Rhinolophus ferrumequinum: one gene and its partner. The protein of the gene in region 2 purifies or fractionates together with the protein of the main gene of each other region. This does not show direct contact. Links are inferred from orthologs where the notes say so. Each region holds a gene or a part of one and is shown on either strand. Other genes may lie near its edges.

Region 1 (7,569 bases), on a different chromosome or scaffold from region 2:
ATGAGCTTCCACTACACCGTGGTCCTCATGGTAGGCCGTGGCAGGGGCTTAGGGGCTGGTTGGCGGAGGCCCAGGGGCTGATGGAAACCCCACTGTTGTATCAGGGGGCCACTCTCCCACTGGATGGGGCCTACAGTTCTCCCAGGTGATCAGTATCTGCTGGGCTGCCATGGGGTCGCTCTATGCTGAGATGCTAAACGACAAGTTTCTTCGGTACTTTGCCCTGACTGTCCTGAGTGAGTGACGGAATGGGGAGCTTTGGGACCCCGAGACGTGGAGGGGGCAGGGAAGGCTGATGGGGGTTCTCTCCACCCAGTGCTCAATGGAGCCATGTTCTTCAACCGTCTGTCCCTGGAATTTCTGGCCCTCCAGTACCGGGAGGAGAATCACTGAAGCTTGGGGACTGGGCTGAGGTGGAAGGAAAAGGAAGCTTCGGGTGTTTTAATAAAGTCTGTCATTTATTTCCACCTGTCCGCTCCTGCATGGGTCGGGGAGGGTGGGAGGCCGGAGACCCAGGGGAAGCAGATCAAGACGAACGCTTATCTGCAGGGACCCCAGGCCCAGCCTGCAGCCATTCTGGTAGATTCGGCTTTGGGCCTGGGATCTTAGTGTCTCAAGCCTGAGGGAGAGGAGCTGAGAAAGGCCCCCAGACTGTCCCACGTCCCCTCCTCAGGCCCCCAGTTCCGAGGCTTGCCCAGACACAAGCAAGGTCTCAGGAGGGCCCCACACGGATGTGAGGGTTCATGAGTGGGTCCAGGTTGGGGTCACTGTCAGCTGCAGCCCGGCCCAGGCGAGACATGAGGACAAGGAGGGCCAAGAAGCCCAGCAGCCCCAGCAGCAGCAGCAGCCCCGCCCGCTGGAGCAGGGTCAGAGGCCGCTTACGAGACCCGGCCCGGCTCCTGGGGGGACGAGGGGAAAGTCAGATCAGGCCCCCAATCCCTGGGGGCCCCGCGGCCTGGCGAGGAGCCCTCATCACGATACTCGTCTTCTGGCCCCAGCACCACCATCAAGCCTCATTTCCTCAAGTGAGCCATGGGGACGAACATCCCTGGCCCTGGCCACTACAAGGGTGACCGTGCCGCTCAAACCAACTGAGGCACCGACTGTTCTGGAAACCGGAAGGTGTCAGACATGGGGACAGTTACAAAGATCGGGTGGTGGCAAAGCAGGAAGGGGCCTCAAAGAGCCCGAGTTGAAACCTCGTATGTAGCAGCTGAGGAACAGCCCTGGAGACGGCAGACCCAAGAGTTCTATTGCCAAGCAGAGACCTTTCTATTCAGCCCCAACACCGGGGCCCGATATTACCCAGGGACAAGCCTCTTTTGTCATGAAATTGTCGTGCCCGGGGACCGGCTCTCACTTCCCTTCCTCCCCCTTCCTGGCATCCTGCCCCACCTGACCCTGTGTACCTGAGCAGCTGGGCCAGCCAGCCCAGTGCAGGACGGCGACGGTACTTGTCATCGTCGTAATCCCCGTGGAGGCCTGGTGTCCGGTCATCGTCCCGCGTGTCATACACCTTCCTCGGGGCCGAGGCTGCAGGGGCAGAGCCATTAGCATACACCGGCTCGGGGAAACTGGCCCACAGCAGGGGGAGTGGGGACGGCAGGAGATCCTTGCCTTTCTCGGCCTGACAGTAAATCTCAGAATCGTAGAGCGGTAACGTCTGCGCTTAGAGTGAGGAAGGGTCCCTCCAGATGGGTCTCTGGACCCGAGCTCCCTTCACCCCACCCCTTTTCTATCCTCCTCTGGCCTAGACAATCCCCTGCTCACCATGAGTCATGGGCTCGGACCCGCTCATGTGGATCACCGTGTGTTGCTCAGGCCGGCTTGGGGAAGCAGGGGGCCGAGGGGCTTGGTTGTAGTAGGCTGGGGCAGCAGAAGCACTGGCTCTCTCTTCTTGTTCAGCGGTACCATTGGCTGTGGCACGAAGAGAGCCGTCAGCAGGGCAGGGAGGCAAGGGCCCCAACAGCAGGCGGAGACTGCCACTCACCATTAAAGCTGGACCAGTCAGAGAAGTCGGAGGTGTTGAGGGGCTCAGGCTCCGGGCTCACCACCTCATCAATCTGAAGGAAGGAACCTGTGTCACCAGCCTGCCCAGTGCTCTCCCCACCCACCCATCTGGCCCAGGTGGAACCCTAGACAGACAGAGGGACTCTCACCAGAGGAAGGCCCAATCCTGCCCGGGCCCAGTTGACGGTGGCCAGCTTCTCTCTCAGCGCGGAGGCCACGGGGCCAGCCAGGTTAGTTGGGGGGAAGATGGGGCCACTGCAGCTGGGGCACTGGTAGCCAGCAGGCGCTGTATTTTGGGGCAGCTGGGCAGCACGTTCATTGAGGCAGGCCCAGTGGAAGAGATCTTAGGGCCCATGAAATAGCAGAGGAGGGGCATGAGGAAGAAGACACTTTGTACCCCTAGCCCAGCAACAGCCCCTAGCCCACTGCAGGAACATATGCACACACACATAGAAGCCCAGGGCCACCTCCTTCCCATACTCGCCCCAGGTCCATTTCGTCAGTGTGCCCTCGGCCCTATTGGCTACCACCATCTGACTGAATCAAAGCAGATGCTACACAGCCTACCAGGAAGTGGGGATGGGTGGAAAGATGATGCCGTAAGCTCCTTGATTAGCTAACAGTTAATCAAGAACAATTTCAGAAGAGCTTCCTAGACATACACACAGGCACATATATGCCTCTACACCTCCATGGGCACACATACCTGTGCTTATATACACATAACCAAACAAGTGCCATCCCTGCATCTATCTTACAGGCACACTAACTCTCACACATACACATCTACACACTCACTTGTGTGCTAACACTCAAGCACCCTCACCCACACACTCTTCTGCAACCCCACGACACACCTGTATTCTTATGTTCACACGCAACATTTACCCATTCACTCACCCACAAGTACTAATGAACTCACTAACACTTATGTAAAGACACAAAGCACATTAAATTCATGCACGTATAGCCATGCACTCACACTAAGAAACACCTACGTGGAGCTCACTCTTTTGCACTAGCTTCTCCAAAAAAGGGAGCTAAAGCTCGTACACAACGTCAAGGTCATGACACATGTCTGCCGACTGCTTTTAGCTGACTCTACTATGGGAAACTCGCTTCCTTTCTGTTTAATCCTGGAATCAGTAATGGATCCTGAATGTCTGAAAGGCCCATGCCAGTCTGGCCAGCTCACAGCCTCAACCACGCCCACAAGTTTGACTGCCTCTTGCTCAACCCTTGAGATTGGAGGGAAGAAACTAGGAACTTTCATTTTTAAGGAGACATTGAGGCCTAGAAAGGAAAAATGACTTGCCTGAGCTTACAGAGCAGGTTAAGTAACCCAGCAGGATTAGAATCTGGGGCTCCAGCCTTCATGGCTTAGAGGGGTCTCACTGTCCTGCTACTTAGGGAGGGCTAGGAAACTAGTCACCAGGCTGGGCCTATCCTGATCCCCCCAGGTGCCCAGGCCTCACCATAGCAGACAAGGCGGGTCGTCTCCCGAGTGGCCAGGGGTATGTTGCACAGGCGGCAATTGGGGTTGTAGTCGCTATCTTGGAGCCACTGCAGGTAAGACTGTACGATGCACTGGAGTGGGAGAGAGAGGTCACAACTGGAGCTGGGCTCCACAGCCCAGTTCCCTAAGGCCCAACTGCCTCTTTATCTCTCATCACAGAGGAGACTTATCCTTTCGTTTGTTCAATCAATAAACATTTATTGAGCACATACTGTGTGCCACACTGTCTTAAGAGGATATAGGAGTGAACAAAATAAACCAAGTCCTTGCCCTCGTGGAGCTTCCATTCTAGCGCCAGGACCTTCATGGATTTGGAGGATGCCAATACCACTTGCCCTCCCAGTGCCCTGCTCAGCCGCTCCCCTGAAGGCCCCACCTTGGCGTGATTGGCTACCAGGCAGTGCTCGCAGACGTTGACCCGGTGTTCGAAGCAGAACAAGTTGGTCACCTTCCTCTTGGGGCACTTGCAAAGCCCCATGGTCGACCCTGGAGAAGAGTTGGTAGGGAGCTAGGTTCTGGTGGCCGCTACGCACTCACCAGCCCAGTTCGTTTCCATTTTTAACTCCCCTAGACACTCTCACGTTCGCCGGAGCCCCAACTTCCTGCCCACCGCCCCTCTTCATTCCGGACCACGCTCCCGGCATAAACCCCGCCTCCGAAGACCACTCTTTCCTCCTGGATCCCGCCCCCGGCCAGGCCCCTCCATCAGCGTCTCTCCGATACCACCGGCCCCGCCTCCAGGGGCCCCTCCTGAGTCCCACCCCTCGAAGCCCCGCCCCCACTTTCTCCACAGACCCCCTCTCCGTGTTACTGATCCACTCGGGCACGGGTCCCGACAGACGCGCGCTGGTCCAACACACGGAAGGACAGACACCGCGCTCCGCGGACCTCCAGCTCAGCTCTTTCCAGTTCGGGCCGCTCCTATTATGCCCCGGCTGCCACGTCTCTTCCGGGTGCGGCGCGCGCCGATGACGCCAGCGCGCCCCTGGCCCCACCCCGGCTGACGGTACACTTGAGACCGGTGAGGAAGAGGCGACCCAAGTACCGCGGCCCTCCCGCCTTACGCAATTTCCGCTTCCTCCTGGGTAGGGCGGGTAATCCGAACGTTTTTGCTTCAGAAAGGCCCTCGGGTTGGCGCGAGCCCGGGAGGCGGCGGCGGCGGCGGCGGCGGCAATCCAAACGAAGGCTAGACATGTCGGAGAGGCGAACGCGGTCTGGAGGGGCCTCTCAGCGCTCTGGTGAGGGGAGGGCGCGCGGGAGAGACGGGGCCGAGCTGTTTGAGGGTTGCAGTCCCATGACGAAGGCCCTCCCCGTACCGCCCTACGATGGATGACCCACGGCCCACCTTCCGCCCCGAGAAGGCTCCCCCAAAGTGCCTCTTGGGGGACCTTTTCTCACTGTCTCCAGAACCTGTGTTCCAGACCTTGAGGTCCAGAGCCCTCCCCTACCTCCTAACTTTTTTCTCTTTCCAGGACCAAACACCCCATCTTATCAGTCTCTGCGGAGGTCCCAGCGGAAATCAGGCTCCGATCTCCCCAGCACCCTCCCTAACATCTGGCCGAAGGTGAGCCCGGGGTTCCTCAGTTCCTACCCTAGAGGTCTCTGGACTCACGTAGAGCTCATGGTCACCCCTCTTCTCCAGGCACCCCCGGTGGCTCCAGTCAAAAAGCCCATCGTCTTGAAGAAGATCGTGGCCCATAGTGTAAAGGTGAGGACTGAGAGAGAGCTTGTGGGTGGGAACCACAATTAGGGGCCGGCTCTGTGATCAATAAGTGTTGTCTCCACAGGTCCCATCCATCCGCTCGCCTCGAAGGAGCCCTAGGGTGAGTTCATTTTCATTTGTTTTGTTAAGTAGAATCCAGGACATTCTGGAGCTGGGACAGACTGTAGAGGCTGGGACAGACTATAGTGGCCCACATTGTTTGCTCAGGAAGCTGTTTCGCAGTATTTTGAAACAGTTTGCCCTTGGACACCTGCAGGCATTGCCAACCTTGCTTACTCCTTATAGACTTAATATGTTTAGCTCTTGATGGTATGTTCAAGAGATGGTACGTTCTACCATTTTCCTTTAAACGTTAACTGTGTCCTAACTTTCTTTCTGCTCCATCTTGTCTGCAGTTTTTTTTTTTTTTTTTTAACTTTATTTATTTAAGTGTTTTTCCAGGACCCATCAGCTCCAAGTCAAGTAGTTTCAATCTAGTTGTGGAGGGTGCAGCTCACAGTGGCGCATGTGGGAATTGAACTGGCAACCTTGTTAAGAGCGCCGCGCTCTAACTGAGCCAAACGACCGCCCTTTGTCCTCAGTTTTTATTTACGGTTGTTGTAATATGAGTTATGTGTATGATGGCTTTGCAGTTTTAGCAGAAGTCAAGATGTTTCATTAAAATCTGTGCCTGAGGATATAATGAATGAGAAATGCCAACTGTTTTTGAGGAGCTCATGGGGCTTACAGTCGAGTGGGAAGAAAGACAAATGAACAGGTGATAACATAGTATGCTGAGGACTGCAATACAGAAAGAACTAGATGGTATGAAGGCACCTAACCCAGACCAGGTGGCTCAGGGAACATTTCATAGAAGAAGAAATATTTAAAATGAGTCTTTAATCTTTATAGACAAGTAGGAGTGTCTGTAAAGGAAGCTGTATTTGCAGAGATCTGGATTCCACACACACATTGAAAAAACAAGGTTTGGGGAGCAACAGCTTCCTTTCTTGGTATGTCTGCAGCAGACCTTGATAGAGGAGGGCGCGTGCTAAGCCAGAACAGAATAGATCCTGATGAGGCATGAAAGCTGTGTTTGAGACCTTGGGTTTCATCCTTGGCACTGCGGGCAGCTTTTGGAGAGTCTTAAGCAAGGTAGTGACTGAGTTAAACTTTGGTGTTTGAGAAAGCTCCCTCTTGGGGGTGGGGGTGGGGGGAGCTGGGTGGAGAATCGGCTGGAAAAAGACTGCCAGGGGTTCCAAGACCAAGTAGGAAGACTTGACAGGAATCCTGAAGTGACATGATGGGGGCCTAAAGTAAGGTGATGGCAAAGTGATGCTCCTCCCCCTGGCTCACCACATGACTGTCCTATCACACAGGACTCAGCTCAGTGGAGACCTCCTCCCGGAAGCCTTCCCTGACCACCCCTATCCAGTCACTGTCACATTTCTTAATGTAATTCTTAGGACTTATCAATGGCTCGGGGTAATTTGTTGTCTTTCTCTCCCCAGTAGGTGCCTTGAGGGCAGAGACTGCCACCTCCCCCATGGTAGTCACTCATTCTTGTTGGTTGACTAATAAATTCATGAGACAGTAAACAGAAAAGGCTGCGACGACTTGGGTGACTGCTTGGCCATAGGGAATAAGGAAGTAGTAGTCGGGTAACCGCCATGTTCAGCATCCCTTTGACGAGACGCATGGGGCATATTCTCCAGAGCTTGCAGTCGTGTCTCTTTTTGATAACCAATGGACTTCCTTCTAGCTGACTGTAAGAGTCATTGAATTTGTCTCATTTTCCTCTTGTCTGGGCTGCCAGACAGCTCAGTGCCAAGTTTCGTGTACATTAATTGGGTTTTGTGTACATTAACTTACTGAACACCTCTGCACGTGAGGCTGTGCTGAAGACGGGGGCACAGGCAGGGTCAGCCAGACAGATAACGACCCCTGCTCTCATGAAGCCCATATTCTATTGGGGGGATGACAGTCAACCAATGGACAAGCCCAAACCAGAAAGTGATGGTTGCTGTACAGGAGAGCGTTGTTGTGACAGAGAGCGACGAGCAGAGGTGAGGAGGGTCTGATCTAAACTCCACGGTAAGGGACAGCCTCCCTAAGGAAGCAGCCTCTGAGCTGAGTGGAATTATAGGGGACAGTATGTGAACCTCCTAATCCGCACGCTCTGTTCACAACCTTGCCAGGGCTCCCTGGGTCTCCCCTGACAGTGGCCTAGAAAAGGCCCTAGGATGCCCCCAATGACCTCTCATGCCCCGTCTTTAGTGCCTCTCCTTAACTTCCACTCGATTCAGGCACACGGGCCTGCTTGTTCCTAACAGGCACTTTT
Region 2 (7,039 bases):
AACTGCTTCAGAAAGTGGCAAGAATGATGGGATAAGTGTGTTCGAAGCGAGGGGGAGTATTTTGAGGGGGATTAAGGGCAATGTGTCTTTTACTGTAACACATTTTTTCAAATTTAAACATTCACTATATTGTTTGATCATACCTCGTATTTGTGGAGTTCTTACTGTCAGACACTCCTTGAAGCACTGGGAGACACCAAGCAGCATAAGTGATAAAAATCTGAGTCTTTGTGGATGTTACTTTCTAGTGGGGGCAGATATACAATAAAGAGTACATTAAATAGTTTGTAAGATGATAAATGCTATGGGAAAAATATAGAACAGGATAAGGGGAACTGGAAGTGCCAAGGAAATGGGGGTGCAATTTTAAATATTGAAGTCAGTGGAGGCATAACTGAGAAGGTAATATTTAAGCGAATATTTAAAGAAGGTGAGGGAGTCACCTATGCAGATATCTAGGAGGAGAGTACTCCAAGCAAAGGGAACAGAAAGTGCTAAGGCCTGATGGTGGACATGAGGGGCACACATTCAGCATGTGGCAAGCGTGTGAGTGGAGGAGAGGTAGGTAGGAAATGACATTAGAGAGATGACAGAGGGGACAGAGAATGTAGGACTTTGCAGACCACTGTAAGGGCTGTGGCTTTTACTCTGAGAGAAATGGGCGGCCATTGGAGGGTTTTGAGCAGCGGGAAGGACGTGTTCTGCCTTTGATTTCTGAAGGATCACTCTAGCTGCTGTGTGAAGAATAGACTGGAGGTACGGGAGGCAGGGCTAGACGCAGGGAGACCAGACAGGAGGCTGTCACAGTTGTCCAGACAGGAGATGATAGAGACACACCAGGTTGGTAACAGCAGAGGTGGTGAGAAGTGGTTAGATTCTGAAGGCAGAGCCGACAGGACTTCCTGATGGGTTGCATGTATGGTGTGAGAGCAGTATCAAGAATAACTTCAAGGATTTGGGCCTCAGCAATCCGAGGGATGCACTTATTATCAACTGAACAGTCTGTGTGGGCAGATGGGATGTATGGGATGGGGGGAGGGTCAGGAGATCAGTTTTGGACTGCTGAGTTTGAGAGTCTAATAGATGTCCATCAATCACATACAAACGGTATGATACATTTTATTATTGTTCAAAAAGATTTGCTGCTCCTGTCTACAGGAACATTCTACGTCCTTATCTCATTGCCCTCGAGGTTAGCCATGACGTTTGCTTTGCCCTGTCCAGTGTGAGAATTGACACGTGCCATTCCTAAGCAGAACTACGGGCTGTTAGGTGAGAGCCACTTTTTGTCTTTACTCTCTGCTATGAGACTGGTGATGTCCCAGGTAAGGGCTGCTCCTTCAGCTTAGGTCCTGGGATGATGACACAGCAGAGATGCAGCCAGCCCACAATGGACAAGGGGGAGCGAGCAATACATTTTTGTTTTTATAAGCTGCAGAGATTTGGGGGTTGTTTATCACCTTCGCATCATTTAACCAATCCTGACTGATACAAAGGAATTTAAAGCTCTAAGGCTATAAGAGATCTCTAAGGGAGCGCATGTAAATGGGTAACAGTGTCCCAGGGGGAGATGACGAGAGGAGGACCTAGCACTGGAGGCTCAGGAGAACTGGCCAGGGAGGTGGGAGAATAACCAGGAGAGTCAGAGAAGCCAAGTGAAGAAAGTGCTTTTGGGAGGAGACAGTGAGCAACTGATGACAGGTTAAGAGGAGGACTGAGAAGTGATTTACTAACATGAGGATTGCTGATGACCTTGACCAGAACATTCTTGGGGGGGGGTTATGGGGCCAAAAGCCTGACTGAAGTGGGTTCAACAGAGACTAGGACTCTGTGGCACAAACTCAGTGTATTTTTTTGTAATTGCAAGAGAAAAAGAGAGAGGAGGAACCTGTAGATTAAAAGAGACATATATACAGGTGGGAAGGTTTCTCTAGCCTACACCTAGGAGTGTAAGTGCTGGATCATAACACTTAAAGCGTATTTAACTTTACAAGATAATGTTAACTTGTTTTCCAAGGACACTGTACCAGTTTACACCTTGACGATAGTGTATAAAAACTTGTTACTTCACATCTTCACCAACACTTCGTATTGCAGACTTTTTGATTTTTGCCAATGTGTGGGTGTAAAATTATAATAACCAATTTTAATTGGAATTTTCCATATCACTAATGAGGTTGCATATCTTTTCATGTGTGTTTTGGCCATTTTTGTTTACTCTTCTGTGAAGTGCCCATTCATATCTTTTGTTCTTTTTTTAAAAAATCAGGTTGTTTTTCTTATTAATCTTAGGAGTTCCTTATGCATTCTACACACTAACCATTTCTTAGTTTATATGTGGCAAACGTTTCCAATTTGTGTCTGGTCTTTTCACTTTATTATTATTTGATAATAGTTTTTATTATTTAAGAATCCCTTGAGGTCATATAGTCTCCTGTATATTCTTCTAAAATTCTAAAGTTTACCTTTCTCATTTAAGTTTTTAATCCATTTGGAATTGCATTTTGTGTATGGTATGAGAGGCAGTGATTCAATTTGATTCTTCCCCCCAAGCTCCAGCTCATCTTTTAAAATGAAACAATAGTTCACGTCAGATTGCTGTCCTTTGGCCATTTTACTCCTCAGCTTGACCATGACTGTTCCTCCCAGTTGAACTTCATTTATGGCTCTTCTCTACTAGAGTCTATCAACCAAACTTGCTCACTTTCCTGGACTTGTCCTACAACTTTAAGACTCTTTTCAGCCTCTGGACATCATTTAAACAATAGTTACAGGAATGGCTATGGCAACCACCAGACCCTTTCCATGTCTAAGTCTAAGCACCAACTCCAGCCTACTCATTCCATTTGTCACCACAATATAAGGTCACTGAAGGGGAAGACTCAGCAGACATTTTAAACTTCTTGGACTGCTAAGGCCATGGCCATGGTAATGAGCAGGTATAAGGTGATACGGCGATGAGGCGACGAAGGGGAGGGATAAAAAAGATTGGGAACAGAGAGAGGAAAGGGACAGAGAGAGCAGAGTGAGGGGGCAGAGAAGGAAAGAAGGAGAGCAACAGGGCGGTTGGTGGGTGTGGAGGACAGAGGGCAGAGAGAGAAGAGGAAGGGGAAAGCAAGGGATGGGGCAGAGGGGGATGGAGAGGAGGGAATGGCATGGAGGTGAGGCACGAAGAGAGAGATAGATAAAGGGGGGAGAAGAGAAGAAGGATAAAGGTGGAGAACACTGGGTTAGGGACCTTGACTCCTAAGGGTTCACACAAAATACCTTTCTTATCAAGGCGTCCCAATTTTGAAGCTCCTAGGTGGGGTCTAGGTTCAAATAGCCAACAAGTGGCTCAGGTCCAAGTCTGTTCTTGGGCTACAGCGTCAGTCTCTGAACTCTGCTTGGAAGAAAAGGAGGGAGGCAGGGGACAGGGGTAGCACCTCTGGCCACGGCTTTCCCCAGCCCTATCCCTGTGGCTCGAGTACCCTCGTAGCTCTTAACACCCCATCCCCCTTCACACTCCATCCCACCTCTAACTCCACCCCACTCCGCCTCCAACCCCGAGCCATAGTAGGATCTGAGCCCATCTAACACCGAATCCTCCCGCTGGCCCCTCCTTCCTGTACAGCCTCCGGCTCCCCGCTCCCCGGGGTCCTTCCAGTACCCCACTCTATTCTTGTCTGAGCCTTCTGGCCCGCCAGGCTAAAGCCGAACTCCCACCTTCCTCTCGCCCTGCAGGGCATAACCCTGTAGTGACTTCAGACTTGTGTTAGCAAGAGTGAACTCTGTCTGCTTTTTCAGATCCTGAAAGCTGTTCAGTCTCCCGCACCGCTGCCTCTGCAATTCTCTCAGTAGTGGCGGCGCTCTGCGTTGCCAAGCAACAAGAAAGGGAGGCGGGGCCAAACGCTCGTCGTAGGCTCGCTCCTTGGCAACGGATCAACAAACCTGCGCGTCAGCCCGAAGGCCCCGCCCCTAGCTCCCGCCCACGGGAAGCTGGGAATCCCGTTCGACCTGCACTTATTCTCGCGACGTTTGGGGTCCGCCCGGCCTGCATTGCGGTGTTTCCCGCGCAGGCTACCTCGGTTCCTCGGCGCACGGCGCGGCCATTCGTACCGCCGCCGGCGCCGTAGCCGTCATGGGCTTCCTGAAATTGATTGAGATCGAGAACTTTAAGTCGTACAAGGGTCGACAGATTATCGGACCATTTCAGAGGTTCACCGCCATCATTGGACCCAATGGCTCTGGTAAGATAAACCCGGCTGCGGCCATGGGCACGTCCCGGACCCCCTATCCAGCAGCAGAGTAGTACAGCCCAGCCCGTGCCACTTGAAATGTCGGGAACCCTAACAGGTTCCTTGCCGCTCCTCAGGGGGTTCGGCCCAAACCTGCTTTCCCGGTTCAGGAGCTCTGACTTGAACCTTTTCCCCAGGTGTCAGTTGGCCGCTCTTCGCGCGGCCCCCGCTCCGGCCCCAGTGGTACGCCCCGGATTCTATATTCCCCCGCCCTCTGCCCCCTCCCGCCAAAAGTGGCGGTCCCGAGCCCGCTGCCAGCTAGCTGGATTCCCCGCCTTGTAAGAACCCTCCGGAAGATGTGGGACTGCTGGTAGCCCTCCCGTGACCTCCGGTCTCAAACGGTACACTTACCCGTCCCGCTTCGCATTGGTACGCTCCAATTCCTCCTCCTCTTTTTTTTTTTTAAACTCTTTTTCGGAGGCGGCACTTTTGAATTTGAGACCCAGCGCTCGCGTCTCGACCCTCCACCCCGTCCCCATTTTAGAGGTGGGGATGCCTCGAACTCGCCCCTTTGCTACCACTGAAACCGTTAAAACTCGGAACTTATTCGCTCACCAAATTTGTTGAATGCTTACTGTTTTATAAGGAATTTATTCAAGGTGCTGTGGAAATAGCGGAAAATAGAATAAGCCTTGCTCCCAGGGAATTTACATTCCAGATGGGAAAGACAATAATAAAGGAGAAAATAGAATAATTTTCGGTTGTGATAACTGCTGTGCAGGAAATAACACAGGTTGATGTGATAGAGTGACGTGGATGGTGTCTTTGGAAAGAGTGGTCCGTAGTTAACAGTACTGTGTTATATATTTGAGAGTTGCTAAGAGAGTAGATTTTAAAAGTTTTCATCACAAGGAAAAAATGTTAACTATGTGAGGTGATGGATGTTAACTAATTGCGGTGATCATTTTGCAATTTATATAAATGTGGAATCATAATGGTATACACCTGAAACTAATATGTCATGTCAGTTCTGTTTCAGTGAAACTGGGAAAAAAAGAAAGGGTGGTTAGATAAGGCCTCTGTTACATATCTGAACTTCCCATCTCTAAACGATACACCATGGATTCCTCCCATCTACCCCCACGAGTGTTTGTTTGGAATCCTGCTGTGCTTCACCCCAGAGTTGTTCTAGCTAAATCATTTCCTAGCCTGAGGGGAGCTGCCCTTGCTGAAGTAGCTCTAACTGACAGCCTTGCCTGGAGTCTTGCCCCGGTTTGGCTCGGTTGAGCAGGGTTTCTCAACCCCGGCCTTACTGACATTTCCAGCGAGATAATTCTTTGTTAAGGGGTCGGTCCTGTGTATTGTAGGATGTTTAGCGGCATCCTCGGCTACTACCCACTACTGACAGTACTACCCCTACCCCCCAGGTGTTACAACCAAAAATGTCTCCAGACATTTTACCAAATGTCCCCTGAAGGGGGCGGGAAATCATCCCCTCCCAACCTTGTTTGAGAACCACTGGCCTGGAGGGCTAATACTTGGGGTCCCACTCCAGTTTCTTAGTATTTTGGTGTGGGGGAAAGAGCCAGGATGCACCTCTTGGCATTAGTCCCCTCATTGTATAGCCCCCTCAGCTGCTCCAAAAGGCTCTTGGTCTGACTGTCCTCCTCGCCCCCCCACGCCCCCCATTCTTCAGTGCCCACCTCCACAAGGCATTCCTTGATTCCTCTCAGGCACACAGTAGACACTTGATACACTTGAACATTTGGTTTCTCCTGTCTCGTATTCATGGCATGTTTTTGTATCTTCATCACTGGTCTGTGCTATGAATGCCCCAAAGAAGACATTCCTTAAAACTGTATCACTGTTCATTCAGCTCATAATACATGTTATTAAAAATGTTTACAATATTGAGTGATTGTGAGTAGGGAGGCCTTGGGTTGTGAGATATTCTTACTGTTCCTGGAGAGCATGGGACAAGCCCAAAGGTTGGAAATGGGTGCCTAAAAGGCTGACTCCGGGTCTGCATGATGTGCTAGTCCTGCTGTGATGAGGGAGACAGCTGAGTCTAGAACTGTTGTTAGGATAGGGCTACTGTTTTTTTGAGCACCTACTGTATGTCAAGTACTTTATTTATTGGGACCTTTTACATTTAAATTCTCACAATAACCCTAGAAGGGAGATCCCGTTATCCTTGTTTTATACTTGAGGAGACTGAGGCACAGAGTTGTGATGACTTGCATACTGGTTCTCAGAGCCAGAATCGGAACCCATGTCTGTTACACTTGCAAGCTTTTGCTCTTGCCACTCTAACAGACAACTATGTGCCAAGCATCGTTTTAGATGCTTCACCTATGAGTCATGCTTTTTCACATTTTTCAGGTGAGGGAATAGAAGGTTAGCTAAGGAGTAGTGAAACTAAGGTTATACAACCTGGTCTATTGGACTAGACCCCGAGCTCTTAATCTGTCTTGTGCTGCCTCCATGGAAGGACCTGGGCTACCGTTTTTATAGCTGAGTAGATCGGTGTTGGAAATCAGATCCAAAGTTCACTGTCATATAACATAGTTGGGGAGAATCTTGAGATAGAATTTATAGAGATTAAACTATTCCCCACCTCCAGTCCCAGTCCAGATTTTTTAAAATGTTTTTTTCCTGAGTCTAAAACGAAGAAAGTAAAAACTGTCACTCTTAATGTTAACAATTTTATGTATTTGAATAGCTAATCAATGCATATGGTATAAAATTCAAAAAAATACCAAAGGCTATAATACAGTTAAAAGAAGACTCCATTTCTTCCCTGGTTTGTTACCTACTATTAC

The links. The genes of interacting proteins can lie anywhere in the genome.
Region 1: the proteins of SMC1A (region 2) and CDCA5 purify together in Homo sapiens (affinity purification with mass spectrometry; 7 studies listed by BioGRID and IntAct, counting the BioPlex papers as one, with this or other methods). This does not show direct contact. The link is inferred for Rhinolophus ferrumequinum from reciprocal best matches to the Homo sapiens genes SMC1A and CDCA5.

Annotation. Positions count from the first base shown.
Region 1 is NC_046294.1:6,518,261-6,525,829, forward strand, and holds the start of CDCA5 (sororin), read left to right. Parts: upstream 1-4,552; 5' UTR 4,553-4,718; coding exon 4,719-4,764; intron 4,765-4,998; coding exon 4,999-5,090; intron 5,091-5,168; coding exon 5,169-5,234; intron 5,235-5,313; coding exon 5,314-5,349; intron 5,350-7,569. Other genes in the region: cation channel sperm-associated auxiliary subunit TMEM262, read left to right, coding at 1-30, 137-204, 317-623; ZFPL1 (zinc finger protein-like 1), read right to left, coding at 713-899, 1,410-1,533, 1,771-1,917, 1,991-2,063, 2,160-2,353, 3,486-3,597, 3,903-4,004. UniProt on the Homo sapiens protein: Regulator of sister chromatid cohesion in mitosis stabilizing cohesin complex association with chromatin. May antagonize the action of WAPL which stimulates cohesin dissociation from chromatin.
Region 2 is NC_046284.1:82,385,870-82,392,908, forward strand, and holds the start of SMC1A (structural maintenance of chromosomes protein 1A), read left to right. Parts: upstream 1-4,039; 5' UTR 4,040-4,120; coding exon 4,121-4,229; intron 4,230-7,039. UniProt on the Homo sapiens protein: Involved in chromosome cohesion during cell cycle and in DNA repair. Central component of cohesin complex. The cohesin complex is required for the cohesion of sister chromatids after DNA replication.